Linked DNA regions of Drosophila melanogaster. The protein of the gene in region 1 interacts with the protein of each later gene in a pairwise test. Each region holds a gene or a part of one and is shown on either strand. Other genes may lie near its edges. The genes, in order: Nha2 and woc.

The links.
Region 2: the proteins of Nha2 (region 1) and woc interact in a two-hybrid assay, tested with the Drosophila melanogaster proteins (one large-scale study listed by BioGRID).

The regions. Positions count from the first base shown.
Region 1 is NT_033777.3:22,996,654-23,000,574, forward strand, and holds the start of Nha2 (Na[+]/H[+] hydrogen antiporter 2), read right to left. Parts: upstream 1,876-3,921; 5' UTR 1,528-1,875; coding exon 1,512-1,527; intron 1,133-1,511; exon of another isoform or gene 1,131-1,132; coding exon 861-1,130; exon of another isoform or gene 1-860. Other genes in the region: CG34375 (uncharacterized protein), read right to left, coding at 3,799-3,921.
Region 2 is NT_033777.3:27,262,325-27,266,245, reverse strand, and holds the start of woc (without children), read left to right. Parts: upstream 1-2,190; 5' UTR 2,191-2,469; exon of another isoform or gene 2,470-2,511; intron 2,512-2,794; 5' UTR 2,795-2,853; coding exon 2,854-3,691; intron 3,692-3,758; coding exon 3,759-3,921. Other genes in the region: CG14260 (uncharacterized protein), read right to left, coding at 1-249, 298-759; CG14262 (uncharacterized protein), read left to right, coding at 840-1,517, 1,571-1,831.

The DNA.
Region 1 (3,921 bases):
GCGCAACTAAACTGGCTCATTATTCGTGTGAAAATGCCACAATTGCGATGGCCCAAAGGGAAGTTCTCCCCAATTCTCCCAAAAAGTTGTACAATGGACTGGTGCGAAAACCCGCATTTGAACAGATGCAAAACAATTGCTGCTCTGGGAGTTTCAAAAATACTAGCTACTCGGCTGTGGGCGAAAAACCAGCAAGGGCCACCTGCCAAAACAGAGGAGCGTAAACAAAAAGCTCGGCCAACGAAAGTGGTCCACACACATGGCCAGCAGGGCACAGCCTTGCATATTTCCAGAAATCAGAAGGAATGTGTAGGAAATGCCTGCCTTTGAGTTTGAGCCGGGACGGTAGATGCACTGGACTGTCAATCGCAGACACTCTGTCGTCAATATGCGGAAATATTACGTATACGCCCCTGTGTCCCCCGCCCGCCTTCGCCATCTTGTGCAAGATGTGATTGTGCGGTTCACTTAAAATCGAAATGCCTCAATCAGCTCCTGCCAGTTGAGAGAAAAAGCTGTGATTCTGCCAGGATATCTCGACGGCGAAACAAAAACTTTGCATAAACAAACTATGAATACTCGTATATGTGCTGAAGTGCATATGTGCATATCTGAGCACGCATTGTGCACTTGGCTGTCGGAGCCACTTCGCTTGGCTGGCCAACAAAGCGTTGGCATGGAGCTGTTCCACTGGATGTCTCTGTCTTCAGCATCCTTTTTGCCGTCCTGTCTGCGGGTTGTGTGCACACTGATCCGGGGAGCTGGTTGCATAAAGGCAAGAATTTCCGTAACAAATACTTTCGTTCCGCATTTTTCGAATTTCCCCATGACGACGCGGTGCAATTAAACATATCACTCACCTTCGATGGCGCTTGGCGCGGTGCTTCCATGGGCACGAGGGGGCACCTGTGGCTTGTCGCCAAGGAGGTGCTCCTTTTCCGGCTCCAGGATGCTGGCGGTCACCGTTTCGCTGGCTCGACGCAGCATATGCAATGGAGTCAAGTTCGCATCACGATCGCGTTCGAAATCTTGCTGGCAGGAGGACATTTGATACGAGTCCTCGAAGGGATTGCTGCTGCGAAAGGCTTGCAAGGGTGGACCCTCACTGCCTGCCACTACATCCAATATATCTAAAAAAAAATATATATATATATATAAATTAATTTGTATGATATTAAAATTAAAATCGCTTTATATTCATACTTTTTTCCCACAAAAAAAATTGACTCAAGCTATTTGGTAACATTTTTAATTACGCATGATAGATAAAGCCGAAGGGTTGCTAATCAAACAAAAAATATTGATAATTCCATTCTACCATTCTTATTTTCCAGTCCCAAGTATATAAATAAAAGAGTTAATTTCCCAACAATTTGACTTGTGGAAGCCCGAACATATTTGCACACGATTTATTTATTGGCACTTGGGCAAAAAGTGGCATTTAATTGATTAACCATAAACTCGTAAATTAACGCCGAAAGTGAGTATCGAAAGCTGCCAGAATCGCTTACCGGAATCGCTGCTCATGTCGAATGTCGGCGAAATCCAGAGAACAAAACAAAACTGAGTGATTGAGTGAAAAAAACGCGGAAAATAATGCCAAAGAGCGACAACTGCTGACGCAATCAGTACGATGACGTAGTCCAAATGGCTATTCTTGGCTCAAAATTGACGAGTGCCAAAGAGAAACGCCGCGGTTTGAAGAGATTGGTTAGCTGCGAATCGAGTGGATATATAGTATATAGTATAGTATATGCAGGGAACGGAACACGCGCGACACGACCGGCGGAAAGGCGGAATGAAATAGTGTAGTAGCCCCGGAACTTGAGCACTTGGAGCTTCTTTTTATTACAGCTCATGCACTGGCAAATATTTGCCAAACGCATTAATTAGAAAAGCAAAAGCCATTTAAACAAGCAATTGCCGATTCGCGCAGCTCCAGCGAGCGCTCTTCGATTAAAACTAATTGGCAAACAAACAAGCTCTGCGGAAGGCGAACCTTCTGTTTTCATTGCTGTCGAGCGAAAAGTGCGGAATGAGTTGGTTTCTGGGTTGGGTGAAATGAGGGGTGGGGGTGGGGTCTGTTTGGAAGCACTTACATATTTATAAGGGGTTCGTTTATCTGCGATTCAATATGCCCATAGTTTTCTAAGGCGCAGCCAATTAGCTGATAAATAATTGTCATGTAATCATAATTTATCTGAACTAGATAAGGCGCCGAATAGCCGCGTTATTAATAGACCTCTAATCATAGCGCATTTCCCATGTGTGAGTGTCGGAATGATTAAACGCTTTCACTTTTTTTTAGGGAAATGTGCGCGACCTGCCCCATTTGAGCTCTATCATTGGGGCGGCAATTCTGTGCCATAGATGGCGCTTTAGTTTGCCAGCTGCGTTTACATGGTATTAAAAAAAAAACTACCTTATATTGTTTTTATTATTAATTATTAATTTTTGTGAGCTTGGAAAGCAATTATATTTCCTTGAAGTAAAAAGAGTTTCGCTTGTCTTGCAAATTGTTTTTCTGACAATTTGCATTTTGACGTTGCTCATCATATTGGGCGCCGTGGCCACTCCCACGCCGTGGCTGTAATTTAATTGCTTCGCTGGAATATTTTTAATTTACCTGATGGACAAACCAGCCCCATGACAAAGATAACCAATCGCAGTGACGTCACCACCATTATCCAGTGCTCCAGTCAGATCATCTCCTCATCAGGTGCCACACGTTGTTGCGCAAAAAAAGTGTCGTTTGCGAAAATATTTAATTTATTTTAACTATGCACACACACTTTTTTGCACTGTATGGAGTTGCAGTTGCACTCTCACTCTATAAGATGGCCATTATGACGACGATGATGATGACTATGATGATGGCTCAAAAAAAACAGGACATTGTGAGGTGCGGGGCGCTGCAAAAAGGATAATACAACTTTCTCGCTCTATTTGCCACGCACACACATGTTGTTACAGTGCCGTGATTTTTGTTGCATCAAATTGGAATTTTTTCCTTAAATATGGTAAACATCGATGGGGCAGAGATTTATGTATAGTGCAGCGGCGCGTTGATGAAAATGACTCGCCGCTGCATTGACCGTGTTTACTGTTTGTCAGACAGGGCAGCAATTTACGCCCACATGCAAAAAACATTAATTTGCATGCAAGTCAATTATCAGGAGGCAGCAAACAGACAGGCGCTAGTTACCAGTTTTCAGTATTCAGTTTTCTGTTTTGAGTTTTCAGTTTTCAGTTTTTCAATTTCTTTTGCACAAACATTGGTGTTATTATTCCGCCATAAGGATGCAAGGACTAATGGAGATACTCTTGAAATGGGTCATGATATTCCAAAAGAATCGCATATGGCGCAGAAAGATTTATTTTGTTTTTCATTAAAGTACCATACAAACCATTAATTTAGCTCGCTACTCTTATAGAGCATCTGCAGGTTGTTGAGCTCAACGTGGACACTCAATGGCGAGGACTTTCAAACTGCCAGGCCAGCACATTTCTAAATGTTTTTATTAATTAAAAATATTGCAAATTAAACACATTTCCAAATTGCGTTTTGCATTTTTCGTATAAATACGCGGTCGATGGAAAAAATGCAAATATAATTTACAAAGCATACATTTCACATTTTATTCTTATTTTATGTTCATTGCATTTTGGTTTGCTCTATCGCCGCTTTCGCAGCCATCAGTTCTTAAACTTGCCTCAAAGCTCTTAAACACGATTACTACCTGCTAATTAGCTTAGAATACCTATGTTTTGGGACCAGTCTTGGGTGCATGATGGGGTCTACCTGCTTTTGATGGTCACCTCGCACTTGGCAGCCAGATTGCGGAGGGTGAGGAACTGGCCGGATGCCCTAATCTCCGGCCAGCTGCACCGGAGCGAGTGAGCAGGTCCCAGGAATCGGTG
Region 2 (3,921 bases), 4.3 Mb from region 1:
TATGGTGCCATCCACTTCGAAGAGAACGTGACCGAACAACTGGGTTACCTCAACGAGCTGCTGGAACTGCTCCATGTCCTCGTAGCGCAGGTTGTTCACATCCTGGTAGTTCTTCAGCGAGGTCAGCAGTTCGTGATCGGAGAGATCTCCATCCTTTTTCAGGATTATCATCAGAGCCTTTAGCTCCTTAACACTCAGCTTGAGGAACGAGTTGTCCATGAGCACCTGCGTGGCTACGGGGAGGATTTTCTGGAATGGTATGGGGATTAAGCGAGATAAAAGTGCGGAAATTCATACTTTCGCCACGAGATCCATCAGTGCCGGATGGTGGTGCTCGCTGGCCAGGTGGAAGACCTGCAGAACCACCTCCATGGGCCACTCCTGGTGGGCCAGCTTGTCGATGTAGCAGTCGATGAAGTCCAGCATCTCGTAGCGCTCGGCCAGCAGCATGAGGTCACCGCACATGTCGATGGTCACCGCATTGCACACCTCGTACGTGTAGATGTAGAGGAGCAACGCCTCGTAGGCGGTGGGAGAGGCGTCGTCCACGCTGATCACTCGCTTGTTCTTCTGGAACTCGGGATCCCTGATCAGGCGCTCGAACTCCGCGGAGGCGGAGATGAGCATCACCTGGTGGCAGCGGAAAATGCATGGACAACGCTTGCCCTCCTTCAACTTGTCCGGTTGCGAGACATGGAGCTCGCAGTCCGACTTTTGGCCATTCCGCAACAGGTCCAGGCGGCGTAGCTTGCAGTTCATAGTGACTGGGGATTTTTTGGAGGCTTTGCTCTCACATAGCACAAAATTTGGAATTCGAAATTAGGGTTTCCCTGGCAGGAATGTCAGACTCTGAGAAGGAGGCCGCCGGCAAAGCCCACCTGGGAAGCAACAATCGGTGGTCCGACCTGGAGGAGGAGGAGGAGGGTGAGGCGAACGACCAGGGAGGGATCCAGAACTTGAGGCCGGAACTCGTTGTGCCCAGAACCACAGCTGCATCGGATGTTGAGGAGAATTTACCATTGGGTTCTCCGAGTGATGGGTCCAAACGCGCTACGAGTAGAAACCGCAGACTGGAATACTTTCGCAGTGGAGCCGATGCCGATTGCCAGGTGCACGTCCTGAGCAACTGCCCCCAATCCGATGAGCCGGCGGTCAGTGTGTGCTACAAGAAATTTGGCTGCCATCGGATCTTCCTGGCCACTGCCTCCGACAAACTGGAGCAGGACGTGTACCAGAACAAGGACTGGAACGGCGTACTCCAGATCAATGGGGTTTCGCCCGAGAGCGTGGAGATCTTCCTGGAGTTCATATACACCTTCGAGGTGACCTCGCCGCTGGTCCAGCTGAAGCTGGTGGGGGATATGTTCATCCTGTCCTGCGCGTACAACATGCCGGAGCTCCTTCGCTCCTTTGCTGAGAAACTAAAGGAGCAGGAATTGCCTCTGGATGGCATCTTTCCTGCCTTCGACCTAGCATTCCGGCATAACATCATCGATGTGGAGCGCGTTTGCATCGAGGTTAGTAGATTGGAATATAAAATGGAGCCTTAATTTAGTTAGTTATCCTTTAGAAAATCATAGAGGAAGGCGCATCATTGATCCACGAACCCAGTTTAATGAAACTCCCGGTCTATGCTCTAAACTACGCCATCCAGCACTGGCTGGTGGCGGATGCAGTGCCTCCCGATGAACTCATCACGATTTTAAAGCAGTATCAGGAGATCAATGAGATTACATTCGCCAACACGCAAAAATTCCCGCACTTCACCAAAATTATCAAGTATTTCCCCAATGTTCTTCTGGACGCCGAGGGATTCATCAATCAAAACTAGAAAACTACTTGGAATTCCCAAAAGCTTCGCGCATAAAACCCAAAAATTTAAAAAAAATAAGCCAATAAAATATCAGTTCTCATTAGCATTGTATTGGGTATCTTTTGCATATGGCAAACTGGAAGCTCATCTAAGGGGAAGCTTAGATGAAAGACAGTCTATATTTAAGTTGTAGTTTTCAATAATTTCCTATTGATCAAAAGCGATCCAAACTTTAGAAGCATTTTTCAAAAAGATAAACGAGCAGTGCTGCCAACCGGTTGCACCACTCACGCCGGTATTTTCTTATGCGCCATTTTCGGTATTTTCCGGCAGATACCAGCCAAGAAGCGAACGCGTTATGCGAGGGCCGCATTTGGTACACTAGTGCGCCATTTTACTCGCATAAAGCCGAAAATTCACACAGTGGCCAGAAAGCGAGAAATTGCACAGTGCAAAAAGGTGTTTGGTAATTGATGAAAAGTTTTGCGCGTACCGTGAACCGACCGTTAATGATGTGCCCGCACGCGCAGCGGTGAAAGGCAGTTAATTCGCCTGTGGAGACGCGCTCACCACAACAAACTCGTGCTGTCCGAAAAAAAAAGTCGGCGCTCGGATTGCGGATTATCGAAGTACCGTACGGCAAGGCAGCAAAAAAAGTACGGAAAAGCCGCCCATGCAACGCGGCCAAAAAAGATAATGCAAGTGCAGTAATATTAATTGCCTGGCAGAGCGGCGCATACAGACACACTCCTCCTTTTTTCCCCACTTTTTTTGTTCTCTGGAGGCGCATGTTTTGTTTTTTCGTGCACTGTACCGTGGGCTCAGTGTGTGTGTGTGTGCGTCGGTGTGCCTGTGCGTGTGTGTGTACACATTTTAGGCGGCAATGGTGTGGGGCCCTGGCCAGCCGATAGTCCGCCGCGCCGCGAATGTTATCGATAGACGAGCCCTAACCATTTGTTGTTTGTTTTCCTTTTGTTGCAGTTTTCATGTCTATATAAACAAACGTACAGCGAAAGTCGGTTAAAAAATCAAGCAGCGAAATGGAGGAGATATCCAGTTTGGACTCGTTCGGCGCCGATTCCAATGCGCGACCGGAGTCGGCCACCCCCAGGTCGGAGGAACAACAGGATCAGGATCGACAACAGACTGCTCCGGCGGCCAGTGAAACTCTGGATACGCCCGCCTCGCCGCCAGCGGAGGATGCAGCTGCGCAGGAAAGCAAACCGCCTCCTTCCAAGGAGGCGGATGACGACTTCGAACAGATCTCCGAGGGATCATTAGACGCCGATGATAACCAGTCGCGGGATAAGGCGGCTAGTACACCAGCTGATCCCGTGGATGCGGAGGAGCCCGCCGAGGAGCCAACGCCCAACGAGGAGCCGCAAGGCGGTGAGGATGAGCAGCCACAAACAGAAGCCGTGAGGGTAGATCCACAGGAAGAGCCCGAGGAGGCGGAGGAGGAGACTGATGCCCTCCAGGCCACTGCGGAAGAGGTGGAGGCAGCGGCCGCCGAAGCAGATGCTGTGGACGGCGGTCCCGCTTCACCCGAAGCAATGGATGTGGATGAAGGCGAGGTGGATGCAGAAGGTGAAGCTGAGCAGGAAGCAGAAGACGACGCAGCTCTGGATCGAGAGGCGACAGATGATGTAGATATGCAGTCCGTGGGCGCAGATTCACACCAGGCGGAGGATGCAGAGCCACCGGAGGGCCGAGATGAGGTGGACACAAGCTTAGAGGAGCAGGAAAATGGCCAAGATCCTGATGAACGGGAGAAAGATGCGGCCGCCGATGAAGATGATCCGGATGCAGAAGGAGATGCGGAATCGGAGCAGGTGGATGAAAATGCCGAGGAAACTGGTGAGGCCGAACATGGCGATGGTAAGTCTTAGTACTTCTTTGATGCATGTTTATAAAAGACTAAATGAATGAACTATTTACATTATAGACACAGTGGAAAATGTTTTGGAGCCAGAGGAATCAGATGTTTGCCTTATTCCCGATGATCAAGAAACGGAAGTGACTGAAGCTGAGAAGGAACTGGCCCGCGAGAATGCCGAGAAGGCCGCCGAAGAGGAGGAAGCCGAGGAGCGGCAAGCCAAGACACCCGA